Arabidopsis thaliana: one gene and its partner. The protein of the gene in region 1 interacts with the protein of each later gene in a pairwise test. Each region holds a gene or a part of one and is shown on either strand. Other genes may lie near its edges.

What was found.
Region 2: the proteins of AT1G14670 (region 1) and RBL2 interact in a protein complementation assay, tested with the Arabidopsis thaliana proteins (one large-scale study listed by BioGRID).

Annotation. Positions count from the first base shown.
Region 1 is NC_003070.9:5,034,611-5,042,206, forward strand, and holds AT1G14670 (Endomembrane protein 70 protein family), read left to right. Parts: upstream 1-2,965; 5' UTR 2,966-3,058; coding exon 3,059-3,210; intron 3,211-3,489; coding exon 3,490-3,530; intron 3,531-3,638; coding exon 3,639-4,224; intron 4,225-4,300; coding exon 4,301-4,438; intron 4,439-4,548; coding exon 4,549-4,705; intron 4,706-4,800; coding exon 4,801-5,285; intron 5,286-5,369; coding exon 5,370-5,589; 3' UTR 5,590-5,987; downstream 5,988-7,596. Other genes in the region: NHX8 (Na+/H+ exchanger 8), read right to left, coding at 107-151, 246-311, 388-440, 526-643, 723-824, 907-1,064, 1,150-1,227, 1,303-1,394 and 2 more; AT1G14680 (early endosome antigen), read left to right, coding at 6,251-7,123.
Region 2 is NC_003070.9:23,407,213-23,414,341, forward strand, and holds RBL2 (RHOMBOID-like 2), read right to left. Parts: upstream 3,928-7,129; 5' UTR 3,514-3,927; coding exon 3,239-3,513; intron 2,700-3,238; coding exon 2,536-2,699; intron 2,423-2,535; coding exon 2,259-2,422; intron 2,193-2,258; coding exon 1,842-2,192; 3' UTR 1,592-1,841; downstream 1-1,591. Other genes in the region: AT1G63110 (GPI transamidase subunit PIG-U), read left to right, coding at 24-109, 204-260, 453-545; AT1G63130 (Tetratricopeptide repeat (TPR)-like superfamily protein), read left to right, coding at 5,642-7,129. UniProt on the Arabidopsis thaliana protein: Rhomboid-type serine protease that catalyzes intramembrane proteolysis. Can cleave the Drosophila proteins Spitz and Keren. May function in pollen elongation.

The DNA.
Region 1 (7,596 bases):
AATGATCTTGTATCAATCAGGTATCGGCTAAAACATCGTCTGCAGTATTTTGTTTGTAAAATAACCAGTAAATTTTTGTTTTCGAATCTTGCCAGACAGTTCGTACCTGAGCATAAAAACTAGTGTATTTGCAATGTAAGCGGCCATTTCCCTACAAAAGTTATAGGGCAATCATAAAAATATAATATATACATGTAAAGATTTCCTTTGATTTGACGAAAAAAGAACACTGAGTTGTGAAATACCAGAAGTGATGCAGACTCTGGTGACTGTCCCCCTTAAAAGCTGTCCTTGCAAATGCAGCGAAAAACCTATTACAATTATGTTATGAACAATGGCTTTTTGACACATAACAACAGAAAGAAGGGATAATTTACCACGACTTACATCCCCAAAATCATGACAGTCAAAATTCCAGAAACCCCAGCCCACTCTTGAGCCTGTACATAGTAGAAATTTCTTAGGTTTCCTAGAGATTTAAGATTCTCCATTGGGGACTAAGTTATGTAGAAGAGAAGAGCATACAGTGTAATAGGCGAAATAGCTCGCTGAAAGTGTTACAGTGATCTGAGCCACCGTGTCATTGAATATGAATTTAAGCCAAAAAACTGATGCAATTCCAAAAGCTAGACCAATGCCTACACTAAAAAACCAGAACAACATAAGCGGAGAAAAGAAGACAGCGACATACAATACTACTAACAAAGGAAAATAATCCATACGCTCCGAATGAGTTTTGGACAAGAAATTTGATTATGGAACCCCAATCAGAGTTATGCCCCATCACCATCTTGAAGAATAATTGAAAAACCACAACCGATACCCTGAATAATCCAAACAACTAAGCTTGATCATATATGACATAACATCACCTTGATGCTAAACATAAGAGTTTGACATGGTTACCCATCGTTCATGAGAGATTCCCCATCAATTAACGTGGTCATCTTCTTACTAGCACCAAGCTCCTTTAGCAAAGCAACAACAGCCACGGGGTCGGTAGCTCCTAAAAGTCCTCCAAGCAACAATGATGTTTTCCAGTCCCAGTTATATGGAAAAGTAAGCTACAAGAGCATAACTCGAAAAAATTGTTAAGTTAATTGAAGCTCACTTAATCACAGTCGAAAATGTTGAAGCTAGTTAAAGTACCTTTATAAGAGCTCCGAGACAAAAGGTGGAAATCAGAACTCCAGGTCCAGCAAGCAGAACCATTTGTCCCATACATCTCTACCAATGATGTAAAACAATCAATACCAGGAACCAACACAGCCAAGGAAGTAGCTCAATCAGGAAAGTAAAAACCTTGATCTGGTGCACATCCATGGAGAATGAGCTCTCGAAAAGAAGAACAGGGAGAAAAACAGCCAAAAGTAGGTCAGGGTTGATACCATTCCCTGTAAAGTTGCCATTTTTTAGAGCTCGTAATCTAACAGTATGGAGAAGAGAAAATACAGTAGCTTACAGATACGAATTCCATGGCCGAGCTTCCCAAGGTTATGCTTAGTTCCATATTCTACAGAAGCAAAAAAATCCAAAATTTAACTACTTTCTAAAATCTTCCACGAAATTGAAACTGAGCTATAAAGCTTAATGAGCAAACAAATAAGACCTAGGGATCCGAGAAAAATGCCGATGACGAGAAGAACGACGGTGTACGGAACTCTAGTGCCGTTAAACAAATATCTACAAGCGGTGCCGAGAACCAGCGAAGTTCCCGCGAAAATAACAGCATCAACAGGACTCGAATCGTTCTCAGCTGAATACGAAGAAGATGCAATTGCTTTCTCCGGTGATTTGTACGGCAACGCCGCGCCGATTATACTCGTCATCTCCGGTAGAAAGAAGCAAACGATCAATCTTTCGTTTTGCCAGTGATTACGGTCAAAGATGCTTTTACCGAACCGAATCTGCTTCGTTTAAGAGTGAACCAAGATTGAATCTAGTCTGGTTTGGCTTGACCTGTTTTATTTCGGTTACGTCTGGTTTTCTATCACTAATTTGAACGAAAATTTGAGAAATCTTAATACGTTTTTGATTAGGTTTCTGTTTTCTTTGCTAGATATGAATGTAGTTACTGGATTATACTACTCTGTTCAAATGAAGGGTACATATATTTACATGAACCAAATTATGAAATAACAAAACCGACTCACTCTAGTCTCTAAACTTAACTAGTGTCACTTTTGTTTGTTTGTTTTGATCCATACTTCAATGTATCTTGTTCAAATTGTTTGATTTTATTTTTGGTATAAGTGGCTACATTGTAATTTCTTGCTGATTCAATCTATAAATCGAAAACCTTAAATTATCCATGCCTCAAAACGATGCACGTTGTGTATAAATGAGAATTTTAAATTGTTTAGTTTCTATAATTGCTGTCATGACGTGAGATCATGCAAAGCAATTACGTACGATAACGCACGTAAAGGAAAAATGATTATCAGATTCATATATTTTTTTTTTCAAAAACTTGGTCTCGTGTAACATCATTCGTCATTCTTCATATTCACTATACTATAACCACAAAAGATATTAAAAAAATAGTCACTCCACTCCACATCTAATACAAAGAAGTAATAATTTAACTATTCAAAATTTATGAAGTGTTAATACGATAAGATTTTCGACCCAAGGAAAAAAAACACTATAAGATACATAGGTTTGGCAGAACAATTAGTTCGCTCACTGCCTACATATTCTTTTTTTGGTTTAATTAGCCTACATATGGGAAAATGATTTGTATTTTGTTAAATGCCACTCACATTTGTTATAAATAATTAGTCTTGGTTTCAAAAGCCATATATTTATGAATTTATAGACATTGATATTTATTTTTATGGTTGGAAATGGTATAAAGTATTATTGACTATAGTTTTTTTATGTATTTTTCTTATGAAATAAAGTGAGAAAATAATAAAAATATTAAAATTTGTGTAGCTGACTCGAGTTTGATTGAAGTCTTTGGTATATAAATATTGTCGTTATTTCCTCCATTTTTCTCCCTCTTCTCCCAAATAAAAAAAGTTACTCAGATCTCACGATTTGAGCAGAATACGCAATGAGGACACCGACGACGATTCTCCTTCTTGTCGGAGCTATCCTCTTCTCCGGCGCCGGCTATGTCAGATCCGACGCCTCCGACCACCGTTACAAGGAAGGAGACACCGTTCCTCTCTACGCCAACAAGGTCGGCCCATTTCACAATCCAAGGTAAACGGAAACATCTATTCTAGATCTGAGCTTCAGATCTGAGGTTGTTTCCCATTCTTAAGCCTGAGGATGATAAATTGATCGTTTATTGTTGAATCTGTTGCTATTGAATTGAGTAACGACATTGATAACTGAGTACACTGCAAAATGCGTAATGTTAAAACCAAAGAGTGAAAGAAGAAACTACATTTGGAATGTTTTTCGTTTATGTGATGGATCTGTCTTAGATTTGAATACTATTATATGACTGATTTTGGTTTTGTTCAATGATGATTGCAGTGAGACGTATCGATATTTTGATCTTCCCTTCTGTATCCCAGGTATGCTTATATCTTTACTAGCTTAATCACACGATTTGTGTTTAAGCCGCAACTGATTTGTGTGACATCTCCTGATTCGATCATCCCATTATTGAATATGGTTTATAGAGGGTGTGAAAGAGAAGAAGGAAGCTCTTGGCGAGGTTCTAAACGGGGATCGGCTAGTTAGCGCTCCATACAAGCTCAACTTCAGAGATGAAAAAGAGTCTGAGGTATACTGCAACAAGAAGTTGAGTAAAGAAGAGGTCAAACAGTTCAGAAAAGCTGTTGAGAAGGACTACTACTTCCAGATGTACTATGATGATCTACCTATCTGGGGATTCATTGGAAAGGTTGACAAGGATATCAAATCTGATCCGAGTGAATTCAAATATTTCTTGTACAAGCACATTCAGTTTGAGATTCTATACAATAAGGACCGTGTGATCGAGATCAGTGCTAGAATGGATCCTCATTCGCTTGTGGATCTCACTGAGGATAAGGAAGTTGATGCAGAGTTTATGTACACTGTGAAGTGGAAGGAAACTGAGACTCCTTTTGAGAAAAGAATGGAGAAGTACTCTATGTCTTCTTCTCTTCCACATCATTTGGAAATCCACTGGTTCTCCATTATTAACTCCTGTGTCACTGTCCTTCTTTTGACTGGATTCCTTGCAACTATCTTGATGCGAGTCCTCAAGAACGATTTCATGAAGTAAGTTTCAAGTTTCCTCACTGTCGACTGTTTTACACTTGTCTATCTCATCTAACCTTATTCCAATGCTTAAAAGGTATGCTCAAGATGAGGAAGCTGCTGATGATCAAGAGGAAACTGGATGGAAGTACATTCATGGCGATGTGTTTCGGTTCCCTACTCACAATTCTTTATTTGCTGCATCGCTCGGTAGTGGCACTCAATTGTTCACGCTGTAAGTCTCTCATAACTCGAATACTTTCCATCTGGATACACTTTCATCCATATCCGCATTTCTTCTTACTGTAACTAACTGTAGCTTTTCCTTTTATTCCATGTCATCAGCACCATATTTATTTTCATGCTTGCTCTTGTTGGAGTGTTCTACCCATACAACCGAGGAGCACTCTTTACCGCTTTGGTGGTCATTTACGCTCTCACTTCTGGAATTGCCGGATACACATCTGCCTCTTTCTACTGTCAACTTGAAGGAAAAAGCTGGGTAAATATTTACACATGATGAGAATCATCCCTGTCTCTCAAAAAATCATCTTCAACTGAAATAAACAACTTCTCCCTTTTTTGACATTATTGCAGGTGAGGAACTTGTTACTCACTGGATGTCTCTTCTGTGGCCCATTATTCCTAACCTTTTGCTTCCTTAACACCGTAGCCATCACCTACACTGCAACCGCTGCATTACCCTTTGGAACCATTGTGGTGATCGTCCTTATATGGACTCTAGTTACCTCACCTTTACTCGTTTTGGGTGGTATCGCGGGTAAAAACAGCAAAGCAGAGTTCCAAGCACCATGCCGTACAACCAAATATCCTCGTGAGATTCCACCACTCCCTTGGTACAGAAGTGCTATTCCTCAGATGGCCATGGCTGGTTTTCTTCCTTTCAGTGCCATCTACATCGAGCTTTACTACATTTTCGCTAGTGTCTGGGGTCACCGGATCTACACCATCTACAGCATCTTATTCATCGTTTTCATCATTCTCATCATCGTCACTGCTTTTATAACCGTTGCCTTGACTTACTTCCAACTCGCTGCTGAAGATCACCAATGGTGGTGGAGGTTCGTTAAACTCAGCTAATCGTCTCTATTCTTTTCTCTCTGACCATGAGAACTTGAGTCTGATTCTACAAATTTCTATTGCAGATCATTCCTATGTGGTGGATCGACCGGTTTGTTTATCTACGCATACTGCTTATACTATTACTACGCACGATCAGACATGTCGGGTTTTATGCAAACCTCGTTTTTCTTCGGATACATGGCTTGCATTTGCTACGGATTCTTCTTAATGCTCGGAACAGTTGGCTTCCGCGCAGCCCTCCTCTTTGTCCGTCACATTTACCGGTCGATCAAATGCGAGTAAGAAGGTCTGTACACCAATCTTCTTATGTTGATTTCCTTCTTCTTCTTCTGCCTTCTTACGAATTTTGCTTAGAACAAAGAAGATAAAGAGATAGGTTGTTAGAAAGAAGAGAGACACAAAGACAATGTCTGATTATTTTCTAAAGAAGCATCTCTTCTCATTAGAGGTTTTAGCGAGAGTCTCTCTTCTTCTCTCTTTATTTTGGGCTACAGAAATTAAATTACTTGTATCCTTTCTATATATTTTACCTATTGTAAAAGACTATCAATACCTTTGAATTCGAGTTTCTTTGTATCTAATAAATTTCAAAACACACATATTTTCTCCTTCATATATATCTTCAGTCTATACTGCACAATAAAAATAATAATTTGAAGATGTAACTAAATAAATATTGGAGAGCTAAATTGAAGTAAATTGCATATTTTTGTACTTGTTTGGATCCAATTGAAAGATCCAAGGTTGATACCACCGACATACAAGGACATAGTGTTAGCTCTTTAATGGGCCAAAATCTCGGCCCAACTATAAATGGTTTCATTGACCAATAATTAGTGCCACTGATTTCAATTTTGAAATTCGAATCCTCCTCCTTTGGAATTCAGAAACCCTAGAGTTCTTCAGCGAGCGAACTCTGTCTGCGATTTCTTGTTGATTCTAAATGGATCTCTCGCGAGAAGTCGATGACTTTATCAAAGAGACAATCGATCACTCTTTAGGGCTTCCGATATCCATGGACGTTCTCCAGAAAAAGCTCTACACGGCGGAAGAATCTCAGCGTCGTCTCCGTGAACAGTATCTATCTCTGGTTTCGAGATTGAAAGAGAAAGAAAAAGTAATCGATCTCGTTAGATCCGAAGCGAGTATGAATGCCCAGTCGCTGAAGAAATTCGTCGAAGAGAATCAGAAATTGGGAAGCGAGCGCGAGGATTTGGTGAATCAGTGTAAGAAGTGGGAAAAAGAATGCTTTCTTTATCATCAAGATCGTGAATCACTCATGGAGTTCGGGAACGAAACTGACGAAAGGGCTAGAGAAGCAGAATCTAGGGTTCGTGAATTGGAGGAAGAAGTTAGAAAAATGTCTGATGAAATCAAGAGCCGGATCGAATCTGAAGAAGATTGTTTGGTTGATTCAATATTGGCATCGTTCGTTAGTAAAGATGAGAGTATATCATTGGGGCGTATCTTCTTGGAGGCTAATAGTGAAGAAGACAAATGTTGTGAAACTTTGTTGAGGAAATGGGATCAGTTAAAGCCAACGACGCAAAAGTTTGTGTCTTTAGTGTCAATGGTGAAGAGAATTGAAAAGGAGAAAGAATGTCTCATTATGAATCTTGCTAAAGCAGAGCAAGAAGTTGAACTTGTGAGCGAGCAAAACAGAGAGCTGGATAGAGAAAACCGCAAGTTTTTGAGGCAATGTTCTGCAGAGAGAAGCCATGGATCTAACAAGTTCAACAAGAGAAAGAGTATCAAGATGATGAGTAGTCCGATTGAGAAGAGGATTGAATTGAGCAGCCAAGAATTTATCGATTGATGAAGTTTAGATCCAATGCTGATGAGTGGTTTTGTTTGAATCTCTTTTGGTAATTATTATGAATATGAATGAGCAGTTCTGGCTATTGTTTAGATTGGTAGAGAAAACAGTAATGGAATGTTTGTGAGGGACAAGCTCTGACTATAAGCACAATGCAATATGTATAAAATATGAGACTTGGAACATTCTCTCTCACATTGGAAACACTGAATTTTAAAAATTATACATTTCCATAATGGTCTACCTCTACCACTAGTATAATTCATTTGACCATTAGTGTGCTAACCAATGTGGTTGTGTTTTTACCATCTGTTTTGTACAATATAAGTCTCTAATTGGCTTCTTCATCATCTTCTTTGTTTCCAAGAAATCTCTTTAGGCTTTAAAAAAGATGTCTAAAAGACTAAAAAGAGTGGGCTTTGGTTTTTGTCTTCTTCTCAAATGGCTTTCTTAATCAGTTTGTGATCGTTCAC
Region 2 (7,129 bases), about 18 Mb from region 1:
AACTCTGCTTCTGTTTCACATAGATATGAAGTTCTCGTTCTTCCTCTTCTGTGGATATCTCGGGATCTCTCTCCTCAGCCCTGTGATGCACAATCTCTGGATATGGCGGGTAAGCTTCTACTCAAATCCATAACCCAACTCTTCACAGCAGTTGCAACAAAATGTTCTAATGATCACAACTACCTTTGATTTTTTCATGACAGGGAACCGGAAATGCAAATTTCTACTTTGGAAACGCTATCGGCTACGCGTGCTTTCAGGTAAAATATAGGCCTGGATCCATTTCAAAATTCATTATTCTATTCAGTAGTTGGGAGTTGATACTCATATAGTACAAAATTTGATGATATCAAGCAGAGGATGATGAGATCATCAGTTATTGATCAAAGAATGTTGTAGTTTTGGGTTATCTTGACTAAAACCCGCATACGGGTTTCTGCTTTTCTTTACAGATCGTTTTCGTGGTTGAGAGCGTAAGCGCAATGCTAAACCATGACAGGGCGCTGAAGAGATCAAACTCAAACCATCGAGAAGTCAAGAGCTAAGCCATTGAAGGTCATTGCGCCACTTTTCTGTTACACGTAAAGAAAAGAGTTGGGTCTTTAGCTTAAAGTTGGCAACATGTGATTTGTGTGAGTAGCTTTTCTTTGTTTGAGAACATCATATAAATAACAAATCTCCTGTGCCTTTCCGTTTAGAGTAACCATTAATTTGTACTTTTTACCGAGAGGTTTTAAAGTTCTTGTTTTGATCCGCAAAGCACACAATCATCCCTATATTTGAAGTTACATCGCATGTATACAAGGTATTATCATTTGTGAATGGTGGATGATTAAAGGCATTGTCTATGTCCCGTACTTTATCCTTATCCACTGCACCATTAAGGCCTAAATGACACAGTGCAGGAAGGTTATTGGGTGGTGTTTGGTCATTGTTTTCTTAAAAGTCACCCATTCACAATAAATGAAGTGTGATGCATTATTAATTTATTTGTAATATCATAAAAACTTGTAAAACCCACGTGGTACCAAAAACAAAAATCAGACCCTAACCGTATAACTGTATTTCACACTGTTGAAAATATATGTTCAATTCGATCTTGTGACATCTGAAATCTCCTAAAAATTATGCATATATTGCATGAAGCTGATGTATGCATGATTGCATATCTTGGTATTATATATTGTATTGATGGCGTGTGGTGATGGAATTTCATGGCGTTTGGTGATGGAATGCGGTTGTGTATCGGAGCTGACTTCAGCAAAGTTCAAACTTCAAACTGCAGTTTTCCTTCATAGCTCAGTCACAAAATACAGTTTGAAACTACTCCTTTTTCATCTGTTAAGTTAAGACAACTAATGGTTCTTGATTTTGTAATTTTGTTTCTTGGATTTCATCAGATGGGAAGAAACTAGTGGAGGAAATATACTTCGAACTCCTGGATTGCAATTTCCAAATGGCTATCATGTTAAACTCAAGAAGAAAGAGATCTAGAGAAAGAAGAATTTGAAGCAAAGGAAGAATAATAATCTACAAGACCTAAGATGGATACTATAAAGTGTGTACTATAACCAAATTAAAGGAATTTATTTCCAATTACAGCTTATGTTTTACATTAATAAAATTGTTTACTATTTATGTACTTAAAGACAGTTTGAGAAATATGGTGTTCAAATGTAAAAATAATACACTCTTTTATTTCTATCCCCTTTTACACAAGACGAATTTGGTAATGTACACATATATAAATAATCAAAGGCTAGAGAGATCAAAGAGATTAAATGTTAACAAGAACACATATAAAAGCTTTTACTATATGATTATGATGATGATGATGATGATTAGCAGGTCCATTTAGAAGTTGGGAAACAGCTAAGGTAATGACACCATTTGCAATGTTTGTTCCCATTCTCTCCTTTGAAAAGCATCACTAATGCAACCGTTAGCCCAACCACAAGTAGCACCACTGAAACTACAAACAGCACGTACTGGTACATGCTATACTTTCGTTTGGTTCGCGAAGTGTTGGTGCGGGAAGCTTCCCAACCGTACTGAGGTCGGACAAGGAGGACAAACCCGAGGCAGAATCCGGTTAAAAACCCTCCAATGTGTGCAAAGTTGTCAACCCGAGGAAGCATGCCTAATGCTAAGTTGATTGCGATGATGAACAGAAGTGTGATCAGAGCAGCCGCCTGCCAAAAGAAGCCGTTAATCCTAAGTTCCGGTTAAGGCGCGTATAGCGAAAAGGGCATAAGTACCTTGTTGGCATAGATAGTCCAATTGGTAAGAAGTTCAGATAACATTGCTCCAAGAAGTCCAAAGAGAGCACCCGAAGCACCAACAGAGATACTTTCTTGAAGGAAAAGCGACGAAAGTATGCTTCCACCGAGACCCGATATTAAGTATATCAACCCGACTCTTACTGCACAGTAACATTCCCGCGATAAAGATCAAATGTTTCACTTGGCGATTAAACAAAGAGAGTCTAAAACTTGACTGAACAATAATTCTTGTACACGTAAAGGTAAGACTTACTGAAGCCAAATTGCTGCTCAAGGCGGATACCAATGAAGATCAAACTCAACATGTTTGTAAGAAGATGAATGATACCAGCGTGAAGCCACATACAAGAGAGAAGTCTCCATCCTTGATGTTCATGTACTACTTTCCTCCATTCCAATGCTCCCATTTTCTCCAATCTGATACAAGTACATATCCGAGTAAAACCAAATCAATCACAAACACCATCACTACAATAATTGCCAATGAAATTTACAAATCATAATTCCAAACCAAGCTAAATACATAATTCCAGGAGAAAAATAAAAACTTTGAGAAACCCTACAAGTTTGAGCTCATGTTCCAAGCCACTAACAGACAATAAAGATCAAATTCAATTGCCAAGTTGAAAACACAAAAATTGAGACTTTTTCAGTTTGTTGAAAACAAAAAAAATTGAGACGTTTTAGGTACCCAAAAGATCAAACTTGTTTGCCAGTAACTTAGATTAACAAATTCTAGAATCTCGAGCTTCAACTACAAATTCATTGACGTTATCAGTAAGGCACTAATTGGGTAATCTTAATTACTGCAGAAAAATGAAAACTTTGAGCTCAATTTCCATAAGAACAGACAATAGTGATCAAATTCAATTGCGAATTGGACTCCCAAAAAGTTTGAGACTTTGGAGATACCCAGAAGATGAAACATGAATCTCCAACTTTAAAGTAATACTTACGTTGAAGAAGAAGGACCAAAGAGAGGATTCTCTTTAAGTGGTTGAAACGAGAATCTTCCGAGGAATCTAGCAACACACTCTTTGTTAGGTCCGGTGATTTTCTTAGGACAATCATTAACGAACATAACAGCGATAAAGACAGCGAGATTTGCCACTACAATCGCCGGAATCAGCCATGAAGTCCAATGAGTTTCACCAGAAGACTCCTCGTAGAAATAATTGTTATTAGCTCCTCTGTTTTTCTTCCCTACTCTCTCCACATCTCTGTTCGCCATTACTCTGTTTCTCTCTCTCTCTCTCTCTGTCTATGTGGTTGTTATATAAAATCGAAACTTGGATTAAACGGATCAAATACGAAATTCAGGAGAAGTAGCTTACAAGAAATAAAGGATTAGAAGAAAGAAGAGATTGAGACAGAGTATCAGTAATCAGAGAGAGATTTAGGGTAAAAACTACAAAGTTGTAACCATTAAAATAAAATAAAAACGCTTTTTCACGAATTTAAACCGTTGAATTGATGTTGAAAAGTTAGTGCATCTAATTATTTATGGAATTCTATTAATTATGTTCTTAATCTTTATCGATGTGTGTAGAATAACAAAAAGTAAAGAAGAGTTTTTGGTGTTGTGTCAATGGCGAGTTAGGCGGTGGTGCCAGCTCCTCCTCTCCTAGGTTTTAGTACAAGTTTCTTTTCTGAGTGCAAAAAACAACTCAGACCTGCGACAAGATTACAAAATATATAACTTGAAAACAACAAAAAAACAAGGTATTTTGTTAAAGTAAAAAGAGAAGATAAAACATATACTCCTTTTATTTTTTCTTAATTGAATTTTTTACAAAAAGGGTTTTATTTTTTTATTTTTTTTTATACAAAAAAGTGTTTTTAAAAGATGGATTTCTAGATTTTTTTGCAATATTAATTAGATATTATTGATGAATATCAAATTTCAAGATAAATAATTAAATATTATTGATTTTTAATTATAAAAAAATATAAAACACAAAAAATAATATATTCATAATTAATTTTAATAATATTTTCTTAAGATATGTATTTTTTTAGAAAATTAATTATTAAAAAAGAGAGAAAATATAAGCTAGTACTATTTGTAGTACGTGTTATTTTGTTTTAATTATAGCATGGTATTTATAAGTTAAACTTTTTTTTCTCTAGCATGAAGACTTTTTTTTTCTGACGAAAAACTATATATAGCAAAAGGTTCTACGGTCTCGATATTTAACTATTTATAAGATTTAATAAGTTGCCAAGGGCTTCTTTAGAATAGTCGACTTTTACATTGTGGAACAAACTATTGAATCCAACAAAGACTAACTCTATAATCTCACTAACAATCGCTTGGATATTATTGTCGATCTCCAAGGAATTTATCATCAGGCCTTAAATGGACTTCGTTGCAGCATATTTCAATGGTGTATAAATTTTTGTAGCCTTGTAGGTATTGGTAGAGTTCGAGAACTTTGAGGATTGAAGGGAAGATATTATATGATCCACCCGAAATTTTTTCGTAAAAGGTTTAATATTCCTTGACGTTTGAAACCATATCAATGAAATTAATAAATAAAATATTAGAATAAACTTCAAAGATGGTTATAATTAACCATAATTTATCACTAAGGAGTATATGAAAGCCATGTGTCCAAACCAAACTCGTGTTTAATGTTCTAAACCAATTGTATGTACTTTCACATTCATTTATCAATAAGACTTTTGCAGAGGTATGAATACTTGTCCAAGTCCGTATAATGGGAGAAATGTTTGGGAGGTGATACAAATAGATGTGTATATTTTGCAAAATGAATGCATACTTTGGTTTTGTTGACATATGATTAGAAAAAATGATAATGACCAAACTTGTATTGTATCATTGTATCATATACAAGTGGAACCAAACAGATATAGATCTTTACAATCCAAGATATAAATTGGTAAGGTCCACGCGGTTTCACCTTAATTAGAAAGGGACATCTCAGCAATAAAAAAAAAAATGAAGGAAATATAGTTAGACAAATATGGAACCAAAATAGCAAAACTTGATAATCTTCTTTGTTTTTTTCATATTTATTTGCTAATGCTGGCCTTTCAATTTAGAACTAAACCAAAAAAAAATACATTATGTGATTATAAACCAAACCGGTGATAAAAATGATAAGATGAAATCTTGACCGGTCAAATGATCCAACGGTGGTGCGAAACTGGATGAATATCACTCTCACTCTCTCAGCCTATGTGAGTCTCTCTCTCTGTTTGGTTTGGTAGAACCAAAAGTTCAAACCTTTACTCTCTCTGTCTGCAAAAGGTTCATCATTTAGGGTTTATACAAGTTTACAGAGAGTTTACGATTCTGAATCAGTGATTTTGGAAGAAACCCCAATCAGCTGAAGATGAGGAGATTGTTTGCGATTTCATCGACGGGAAACAGATTTGTTCATCGGAGTCTTCTCGGAAAAGGTAAATGTGGAACTGCTCCTCCTTCCTTTAGCCATTGCAGTTTCTGGGTACGAGATTTCTCTGGTGTTAGATATGATTACAGAAAAATATCGATAAATAGGCTAAATGATTTGAAGCTAGATGATGCGGTTAATCTGTTCGGTGACATGGTCAAGTCTCGTCCTTTCCCTTCGATTGTTGAGTTCAGTAAACTGTTGAGTGCCATTGCTAAGATGAACAAGTTCGATCTTGTCATCTCTCTCGGCGAGCAGATGCAAAATTTGGGAATTTCACATAATCTTTACACATACAGTATTCTCATCAACTGTTTCTGCCGACGCTCTCAGCTCTCTCTTGCTTTAGCTGTTCTTGCCAAGATGATGAAACTCGGCTATGAGCCCGATATTGTCACGCTTAACTCTCTGCTCAATGGTTTCTGTCACGGGAATAGGATTTCAGATGCCGTATCTCTTGTTGGTCAGATGGTGGAAATGGGATATCAGCCCGATTCATTCACATTCAACACTCTAATTCATGGACTTTTTCGCCACAACAGAGCTTCAGAAGCAGTGGCTTTAGTTGACCGGATGGTTGTGAAAGGTTGTCAACCAGATCTGGTTACTTATGGTATTGTAGTAAATGGATTATGTAAGAGAGGTGATATTGATTTGGCTTTGAGTTTGTTAAAGAAGATGGAACAAGGGAAAATAGAGCCTGGTGTTGTGATCTACAACACTATCATTGATGCTCTTTGCAACTACAAAAACGTGAATGATGCACTCAATCTGTTCACTGAAATGGATAACAAAGGAATTAGACCAAATGTTGTTACCTACAACTCCCTCATAAGATGCCTTTGTAATTACGGAAGATGGAGTGATGCTTCTCGACTACTCAGTGATATGATTGAGAGGAAAATCAATCCAAATGTAGTCACTTTCAGCGCATTGATTGATGCATTTGTGAAGGAGGGGAAGCTTGTAGAGGCTGAGAAATTGTACGACGAGATGATCAAAAGGTCTATAGATCCTGATATTTTCACTTATAGTTCACTGATCAATGGGTTTTGTATGCACGATCGTTTAGACGAGGCCAAGCACATGTTTGAGTTGATGATTAGCAAGGACTGTTTCCCAAACGTAGTGACTTACAATACTCTTATAAAGGGATTTTGTAAGGCTAAGAGAGTAGACGAAGGTATGGAACTCTTCCGCGAGATGTCTCAAAGAGGATTGGTTGGCAACACAGTCACTTACACCACTCTTATCCATGGATTTTTTCAAGCTAGAGAGTGTGATAATGCCCAAATAGTTTTCAAACAGATGGTTTCTGATGGTGTGCTTCCCGATATTATGACATACAGCATTTTATTAGATGGGCTTTGTAATAATGGGAAGGTAGAGACAGCATTGGTGGTGTTTGAGTATCTGCAAAGGAGTAAA